Linked DNA regions of Saccharomyces cerevisiae S288C. The main gene of each other region encodes a partner of the protein of the gene in region 2 in a complex. Each region holds a gene or a part of one and is shown on either strand. Other genes may lie near its edges.

What was found.
Region 1: TUL1 (region 2) and DSC3 share a complex: the UniProt entries of both Saccharomyces cerevisiae proteins name them as parts of the DSC E3 ligase complex.

The regions. Positions count from the first base shown.
Region 1 is NC_001147.6:757,518-761,160, reverse strand, and holds DSC3 (Dsc3p), read right to left. Parts: upstream 1,380-3,643; coding exon 501-1,379; downstream 1-500. Other genes in the region: DNA-directed RNA polymerase core subunit RPB8, read left to right, coding at 1-336; ODC2 (mitochondrial 2-oxodicarboxylate carrier), read right to left, coding at 1,908-2,831; MCT1 ([acyl-carrier-protein] S-malonyltransferase), read left to right, coding at 3,603-3,643. UniProt on the Saccharomyces cerevisiae protein: Component of the DSC E3 ubiquitin ligase complexes that tag proteins present in Golgi, endosome and vacuole membranes and function in protein homeostasis under non-stress conditions and support a role in protein quality control.
Region 2 is NC_001143.9:369,999-374,930, reverse strand, and holds TUL1 (ubiquitin-protein ligase TUL1), read right to left. Parts: upstream 3,103-4,932; coding exon 826-3,102; downstream 1-825. Other genes in the region: YKL033W-A (haloacid dehalogenase superfamily protein), read right to left, coding at 1-426; UGP1 (UTP glucose-1-phosphate uridylyltransferase), read right to left, coding at 3,541-4,932. UniProt on the Saccharomyces cerevisiae protein: Catalytic component of the DSC E3 ubiquitin ligase complexes that tag proteins present in Golgi, endosome and vacuole membranes and function in protein homeostasis under non-stress conditions and support a role in protein quality control.

The DNA.
Region 1 (3,643 bases), on a different chromosome or scaffold from region 2:
TGCAAACTAACCTTGGATATAAATGTTGAATTGTTTCCCGTCGCCGCACAAGATTCTTTGACAGTGACTATTGCATCCTCTTTAAACCTCGAAGACACCCCAGCTAACGACTCTTCTGCGACAAGAAGCTGGAGACCTCCACAGGCTGGTGACAGATCCCTTGCAGATGATTATGATTACGTCATGTATGGTACCGCTTACAAGTTTGAGGAAGTAAGCAAGGATCTAATTGCCGTTTACTACTCATTCGGTGGCCTCTTAATGAGATTAGAAGGTAACTATAGAAATTTGAATAACTTGAAGCAAGAGAACGCTTATCTTTTGATTCGTCGTTAGCAGCATTGGACCGAGTGCTAAAAAAAAGGGCGATCACTTACTGCTACTAGTAATATAAATAATACTTTATAAAAGTGTAAGAATGCCATGTAAAATACTAAAAATTGAAAAAAAAAAAATAATATCATTATTGTACATGAAAACGACATCTAATCGCCTCACTACTAAAAACCTCTCACAAGACAAAACATAACATTAACAATCACACCGGCAAAAATCGCCATTTTTTGCCGTCTGTTGAACAATCCATCAAACTTCATTAATAGTATACCAAAGACGCCGAAGAAGAATCCGACACATATACCTAAAAGCAAGTCTTTGTTGTGCTTTATGTTAGCGATCGGCACAGAGTTAAACCTGTCTTCATTGCCGCCTCCGGCCCCATTCCCCTGAGCGGTCCCACTCCCGCTTTCCATCCACTGTTCCTCCAACTGTCTAATGTCATGGCCCTCATCATCTCTGTTGCCATTTTGAGCAAGTCTCTCCTCCTCCTCCTCCAAATCTCCATACGTGGCCCGAAACTGTTGCCTCAGCAGTTCGATTTCTTGCTCAGTAAATCCCACGGATCGTAGCCTATCAAACCCGATGGCCTGCGTGGTCATGGAGTCATTGGACGGAGTTGCATCGTCCTTTAGATCTTCGTTGGCTAACTCTGCTTGTGTCAGCTCCTCTGTACCAATTATACAATGAATATAGTAGTTGTTCTGCTCTGGTGCCACGCTGGTGCCTGTTGCGACGTTAGAGTTATTAGCAGTATCGAAGTAATGCGTCAGTTCCTCAGCAATCTTGGAATGCGTATTCAGAATACTCCCGTTCCTTATAAACTTCAGTCTTCTTTTTTGTGTTTGTTGGGGCCTCAATTCTCTACACATCCGACGTAGCCAGTGGGTATTTATATTCGAAAATGGTACATTTGATATGTTCAACTGCAGATCCCTTACTGATACGTCGGAAAACCGTATCACAATGAACTTCTGATCTGGGGACCTCACTTCCCCTCCCTGCGATCCGTTATGTGTGGGTAATAATGGTTCTGCGGACATAATTTTATCAATGTATGCTGCCTTTCACCTCTCTCTTTGCTTGGTTTATATCACAAGCGTCTTCTTTAATAACTCAAGGGACCCTAATACGCCGTTCTTTATATTCAACTCCGGGTAATGGAGATAGTATATATATATTTTTTTTTCCTCCCAGTGCAACTATAAAAAGAGATGAAGAATTTCTAAAGAGTACTACCTCGGTTTTACTTCTTGTATATTTACTCTTTTTATTTCAAATTTTAAAAAAAAACCATACAAAATTAATCGTGCGGATTAATAATCCAGGACTATAAAACCGTGTTGTTTATATCGAGTCTCTTTTGGTATAAGCGTCAAGTCCATCGGAGAGATCATCATTTTGTTCATCTTAATGCCCTTTTGTGTAGGAAATTGAGGGAAGTTTAGGCTTCTCAACATTTTAAGACGCCTATGCAAGGGCTGGTAGGACAGACATGCTATTCTTATTTTGACGTAGAAATAACGTAGTTAAGATTGAAGAGGAAAGAGGTATTCTATATACAATAAATATCAGTGTCCGTACTTCAGATCCCTGAAAAAGTTCATCATACCGGTAAAAACCACCAACATTAATGAACCACCGGGTGCTAGTCTACATACTTTGGGGACGAAACCTTTGTACAATGCTCTGAAGCCTTCTTCACGGTATATGACCAATAGCGAAGGTAGGCACCAGTTGTATTTTTTAACAGCACTGCTGACCGCGTCCACACTTTGGATTCTGGATTTCACCACGTCAAAGGGAGTGTTAAGCATGGTCCCGACCGTACCACCGATCGCACCTGCAATAAGGTCATTTCTGGTCTTTTGTCCCTTTGTCTTTGCTACGGGCATGGAATTTCTCACTTGGTAGATAACACCGAAGTAGCCACCATTCCAAAGAGCGTTTCTCCACATGGTAGATTCGATACCCTTGTATAGCCCCATAATACCTTCGTTTTTGATTGTTTTTTTCAAACAGTCCATTGGTCCAAGATAGCTGGACTTGACGTCTTGCATCCTGATTTTGATCAATTCAAATGGAACAATAACTGCAGCTTCTGTCATACCAGCAGATGCACCAGCCGCAATGGAGATCTTCTGCGTAGTTTCATTCGTGTTGAATAGGTTTTTGAAGATTTTTTGATATTGATCGTTACATGCAAATTTGGTGGCTCTCTTTGGTGCTTCCATCAACATTGGTGAACTAATACCTCTGTAAAGTCTGCTAAACCCTTCCTTCTTTACAATTTTTTTCAAACAATCGATGACACCATTATATCTCTCTACTTGCTTTCCTACTGCAGCGGCAGTAGGCGTCGTCACCTCCAGTTGAAATCTTGTCTTAACAACATCAAGCGGATACATAACAGTTAACTCAGAAATACCGGCGACGGCACCTGATATGAACTGATATATAAAAGGCAATGGCTTTGCGTTTGAGTCTGATGACATATTACTTTGATGCTACCTCGAATTACTTGACTATATAGAATCTAACCCAGTAAAAAAGTGCAGAAGAGCTTCAGACTGAAAAAACGAAGAGAACGTTTTATAACAGAATTACTTGCAAATGCATGTCGAGTCGAAAGTGATCGCGACTGCACTGAGTCATCAACAACAAGATCTTTCGAGATAGACAGGCAAAAAAAGCTCACCACGAAAAAACTGAAAAAAAAAAAGTTCCAGAGGAATTTGCCTGGCATAGAATAATAGCATTCGTAGTACCACTATTTCATGTTAGAAATGCACAAGCAATTGAATGTCAACGACAGAAGAGGACTAAGTAGTATGCAGAAGAACTAGAACTCCTATCTGAGAAGAACTAATTGGTCAACCATGTCTCATTGTCCTTACATTTGATAAATGCCGATCTTCTAAAACAGTAAACACACGTTAGCATCGCCTTGTGTTAACGAAGTAAAAAGGCTTGCTAAACCGAAAGTACACAATATGCTTGTCTTGAGAAAGTTGGAAGAAAATTATAGGCCCTTAAATATACTCAAAATGCAGAAAGTGTCATCTTCTTACATGGCATTTTTTGGCCGTATGACAAGGCGCATTTCAACCTCCGATGGAGGAAGTAAACTGAGTATCGAACTCAAGGGTAAAACAAAGCTTACCAGTAACTTGCTGCATATTAGAACTATTCAATAACGTACACTGAGGGTAGTAACAAAGCGTTTTGCACTTTTCTGATCGTGGTACACATATATAAGCGTTTGTATGAAGCTACTAACCTTCCCAGGTCAAGGGACCTCCATCTC
Region 2 (4,932 bases):
ATCATCACCAGTGACAATGGTATCGAAAAGATCAAAACCTTCCTCTAAATGACTTGTTTTGCCGCGAAATTTAGTCTTGTTCGAAGACGTACATAATGCAATAGGAATGTTCTTTAACTTTAAGTATTTCAACAAATTCAATGCACCGGGAAGAAATTCGCAAGTACCCCATTTAAGAGATTGCAATGCAACATTTCTTTCGTCGTACTCATCTAAAGTTATTGGTAATTTGTAGTGTTCGATCACCCTTTTTCCTGCTTCCGGTCCCGGAAGCCCTTGCAATTTAATCTTCACATCCCAAGTTAAAGGTCCCTTACCAAATTCTGCGAGAGTTTCATTTAAAGTTTCAGTATAAATATCCTCTGTGTTGATGAGAAGACCATCCATGTCAAATAGACATGCCTTCACTGCTACAGGATGTGTCATAATTTGTTAAAAAAAAGAAATTTACTTTTGCGTTCTTATTGTCAAAGAAACAAAAGCAGTGTAATTGGAAGGCAGTGACGGTCTTAAGATTCCCCAACTTGGAGTTGGAGCGATTTAGATTCACCTCAATGGATCTTGATCGGCAATATTTTCCCAATAATTAATTCCTCGAAAAATGTGTCATACGGAAAAAGGGTAACACTAAAAACCCTTGTGAATTATCCTAAGTCTAGTTTGCCTATTGTATATTTAAGCAAAACTACTTTAGTGGTAATAAAAAGTTAATGCACTATTCATGTAAAATTTCTTATTGCAATGGTTGACAAATAGGAAATGTCACGGTATCTTGGATCTTGAATACAAATACAGTATATAGTTCTTAGGATCAAGAGATGCTATCTACAACGGAGGTAATGGTGACCTACACACAGGACATTGTAACTTATAATTCATCCAGTTTTCTAGACACGAAGTATGAAATACGTGATTACAAGGCGTTACCATGTAAGAGTGCTGATCCACCTTATGAGTTTCTGGAATTTCCTCTATGTAAATTGGAACATCAGACATACATATCGCGCAATCAACGGTATGTTCAGCAGTTCCACCACCATGCTCCGATATATACTCGTTTGAAAGGGGCTTGAAATACGAATATCCATCAGGTATTGTGTGCTTAGGCAAGAACCAGCGCGATCCCAATACATCTTGAGAATACAGTATACTAATTTGAAACAGTAGCCACAATGATAAAAATACGACGAAATGAACATCTTTATGGTGCCTGAACACATTAGAGGAGTAAGTGAAAACATACACAACGGGCAAGCTTCTAATTATTGTTGTACCAATTACAAAACTCCACAATAATGGCATTTTGTTTTGACTTCTATTTCCTCCAATGCTAGATCTTGCTCTTTCTCTTCTTGAAGGAATACCTTTAACGGCGTTACGGAAAATTTGAGGGATCCAATATGAGTTTAATATGAAGATTAGGATATACTCAAATACCATCCTTAGCTGACGGGGCCATGAAGTTGAACTCAATATTAAAAACGTGAAAATGATTAGCATAAAGAAAAACCTACCATATAACGAGCCACCGATAGACCCTTCATCGGGAATGAATGCGGGTCTTGGCCTATTCTCATCATATGTGCCAGTGTTACCACGCAGGAGGTTGATAATCCCAACATTCTGTTCGTTAACCTGTGAAGCGTAAATTGAAATTAAGTAGCGTATTTCAAAAATAGATGCCAAGATAAAGCACGAAAAAGCACTTATAACTAGGGGTAAGTACAATTCGGGAACGACACTAGCTGCGACAAAGTACAAAGTGGCCAAGGAACCATCGACTAAGTTTATCATTGAGAAACAATAGAATGAGATTTTGTTGACCATGGAGGGGGTATTTGTATGATGCATCTGAGTAAGCAATAAGTATATCTGGGCTGCAAATAATGCAATACCGAACAATAGATGTTTTCTGATCGACATTATTTTTAATTCGTACCGTGTACCCTTTACGTTATGAAGCCCTAATCGTACGCCACAGTCTGGAGAATACAGTAATCCAGAGACAACATTTATGGGCGGTAAACTAGACAGATTTGCCGGACGCCCCAGGGGCCAATTCAATTCATCATCTATTAACTTGATCTGATCTCTTGTGTACTGATTCCATGGTTCCAACTGAAGAAAAATCAAATACTCACATTTAAAGTTGGCATTATTATAAGCATCCTGTACGTCTTTCATGGTCATGACATCTGTGTAATCCGTGAAATTCCAAAATTCATCAACGAGTTCCTTGACATCATTAAATATTTTCTCATTATAATCATTCTGGAAGGACATGTAATGAGGAAGGGCGAACAATGAATGAAATTTAGAACTCTGAGAAATAGAAAGAATTCTACCACGTTGAATGTCATATACAGCCTTCGAGTATATGGAATGCTTTTCCTTTTCAGCCTTATCTGAGAAATCAATCTGAAGATTTAACAACTTCCAACGGTCATTTTTCTTATTTATGAAATTTCTCCTTAAGTAATTATTATTGTCCTGAAGATTGCTCATATGAGAAATTTGAATAGCTATTTCGCCATGCTGAAAACTCACATTATGAAGTTCGCCATACGAAGGCCACTCAGACCAGTACGTCTCACCTTCAGGAGGAATATCCTCTGAAAAATCAGTTGCCGGCTCATAGAATCTGGGTACAGGCATCCTTATCTTTTCGTACTTGTTATTTGATACAAGGTCGATTTTACCTAACAGGGTGCTTGTAATATTGGGAGGGAAAAGGTTGGAAGCGTCATCATTCGAAGTATTCCAGACTTCAGTATTTATGGCCTCTATGACATCGTTGGGCAAAACCATGTAGTTTTGATTGGGAAACCATCGATCATAATCTTTTCCTGGTAGTGGGTAAGTGGCATTTTGGAGAGGATTATTCAGCATGTCTTGGTAGCTGAGTTTAAGCCCGGTAATATTTCGAAAACTATCTGTATATGTCATATTGACGAACGTATTGTGCTCTGTTCGGAACTGCTGCTTGAGTCTCTGGAGTTGATTGAACTCATATTGAGAAGACACACCATCACCACCCGGTGAGGAGAAAAATAGGAAAAGGATCACTATTATGAACACCAGAGTGTTGCCATCGATTTCCATACTGTACTTTTGCCTCTTTTGCTGTAGGACTTTCCTTTTTTGCCTGAATTAGTAGAAATACGGGACAAATGTAACAAACGAGATTGAACTTGCTTTTTTACAATATCTTTTGGGGTGATAATTGAAAGATGACGATCCGAGCTTGTCACCTTTAACTTACGTTTATTCTATTTCCCTAAAGTTCACAGACCCTTACCCCGCCAAAGGAAAATCTCTATATATACTGAAGCTACGCTTAACAAATATATAACATGACGTGAGTGAAGAATTATGAACACTAAGCTTCTTTTGCATTTTTTTTTGCTTCTGTATAAGTCTAAACATATAAATGTGTATATATTAGAGATATATAACCCATTGAAAAAAAAAAACTGCGTGTAGTAGAATAAATAACCTAACGGAGAATTGAAAGTAAAAAAGGGATTGCAAGCCGCACCTTCAATGTTCCAAGATTTGCAAATTACCAGTAACGACAACATTTTCCAATATGGAGCCGTTTGGAATATCGATTTTATGACCGTCGGAGCAAACGATGATGACAGTACCCCTCAAAGTGACATCTTTACCTAAAAAGACGTTACCAGTGATGGTCAAATGATCTAGCTCGACGATTTTTGGGATGTGAGGGATTCTTGCGTTAAAACCAGAAACCTTTTTGAAATGCGAGCCCAACTTGATTAATGGGTTTGGACCAAAACGGGATGGGTCTAACTTCAAAGAACCGTGTTCCAGACGGAATAGATCTGATTTAACCAGCAACAAATCGGAACAGGTCTTGACAGGCAAGAATCTTGATCTTGGAACGACAACACCGTGAGCACCATCAAAATGCCTGATAGCAGCACCACAAGCGGTTTCTAATTGTAAGACATTAATTTCATGACCGTCTCTTGTTATAGTTTTTTGGTTTGGAATGATTTCCATCTCCAAATTGCTCGATTCGATCAACCTCTTTACTGCTTTCAGATTGATCCATAAGTTATTCGTGTTGAAGTTGGTAAACTTTCTGATATTTTTGAATTCGTCAATGTGTTCTTTTGGAACTTGGGCGACTTCCAATAAACGGACTTGACCATCGTAAGAAATCAAAGTACCACCTTTAACATCGGCTCTGGTCTTATCAGTCAATTCCATTATATATTCGGCACCAGTCTCGATCATGTGGTTTAAAATTTTTAAGTCGACGGTAGCACCCAAGTTGTCACCGTTAGAAACAAATAATATTTCTCTTCCTTGGGCAATTAAGGCATCCAGTTCACCAGATACGTGTAAAGATTCAAACAAATCACCGTGACCTGGTGGATACCAAGCATCCAGTGGAGAATCGTATTCGGTGGGGACAGGCAATAAAGAATCCTTGTAGACTCTTGGGAACCTGGATTGATTGAAAGATCTGATTCTGATTCTGTTAGCGGAATACTTCTTAATCAAGTGTTCCGTATCCTTGTCAGTGTTGAAAGAATTCATCAATAACAATGGCACGTCGCTATCGTACTGTCTGTTCAAGTATTCAATTTGACGAACAGACAAATCCAAAAAGGTGTTTCCCTCTCTCACTTCAATAACAGATTTAGGGCCAACGCAGCCCATGGAGGTACCCAGCCCACCGTTCAACTTCAAAACAGCCAATTTGGAAAGGTTTGAGACATTCTCGGGCTGCTGAGAAATAATTTCATACTTAACCACTTCATCCGGGTTGGGAGACTTGATCTTGTCCCATTCCAAGGTGGTTCTAGAAGACTTCTCTACCAAATATCTCCTGAAAAGCGTGAAAAACGAATCCAGTTCGTTCTCAAACTTAGCGCGAGCAGCATCGTCAAGTTTACTAGA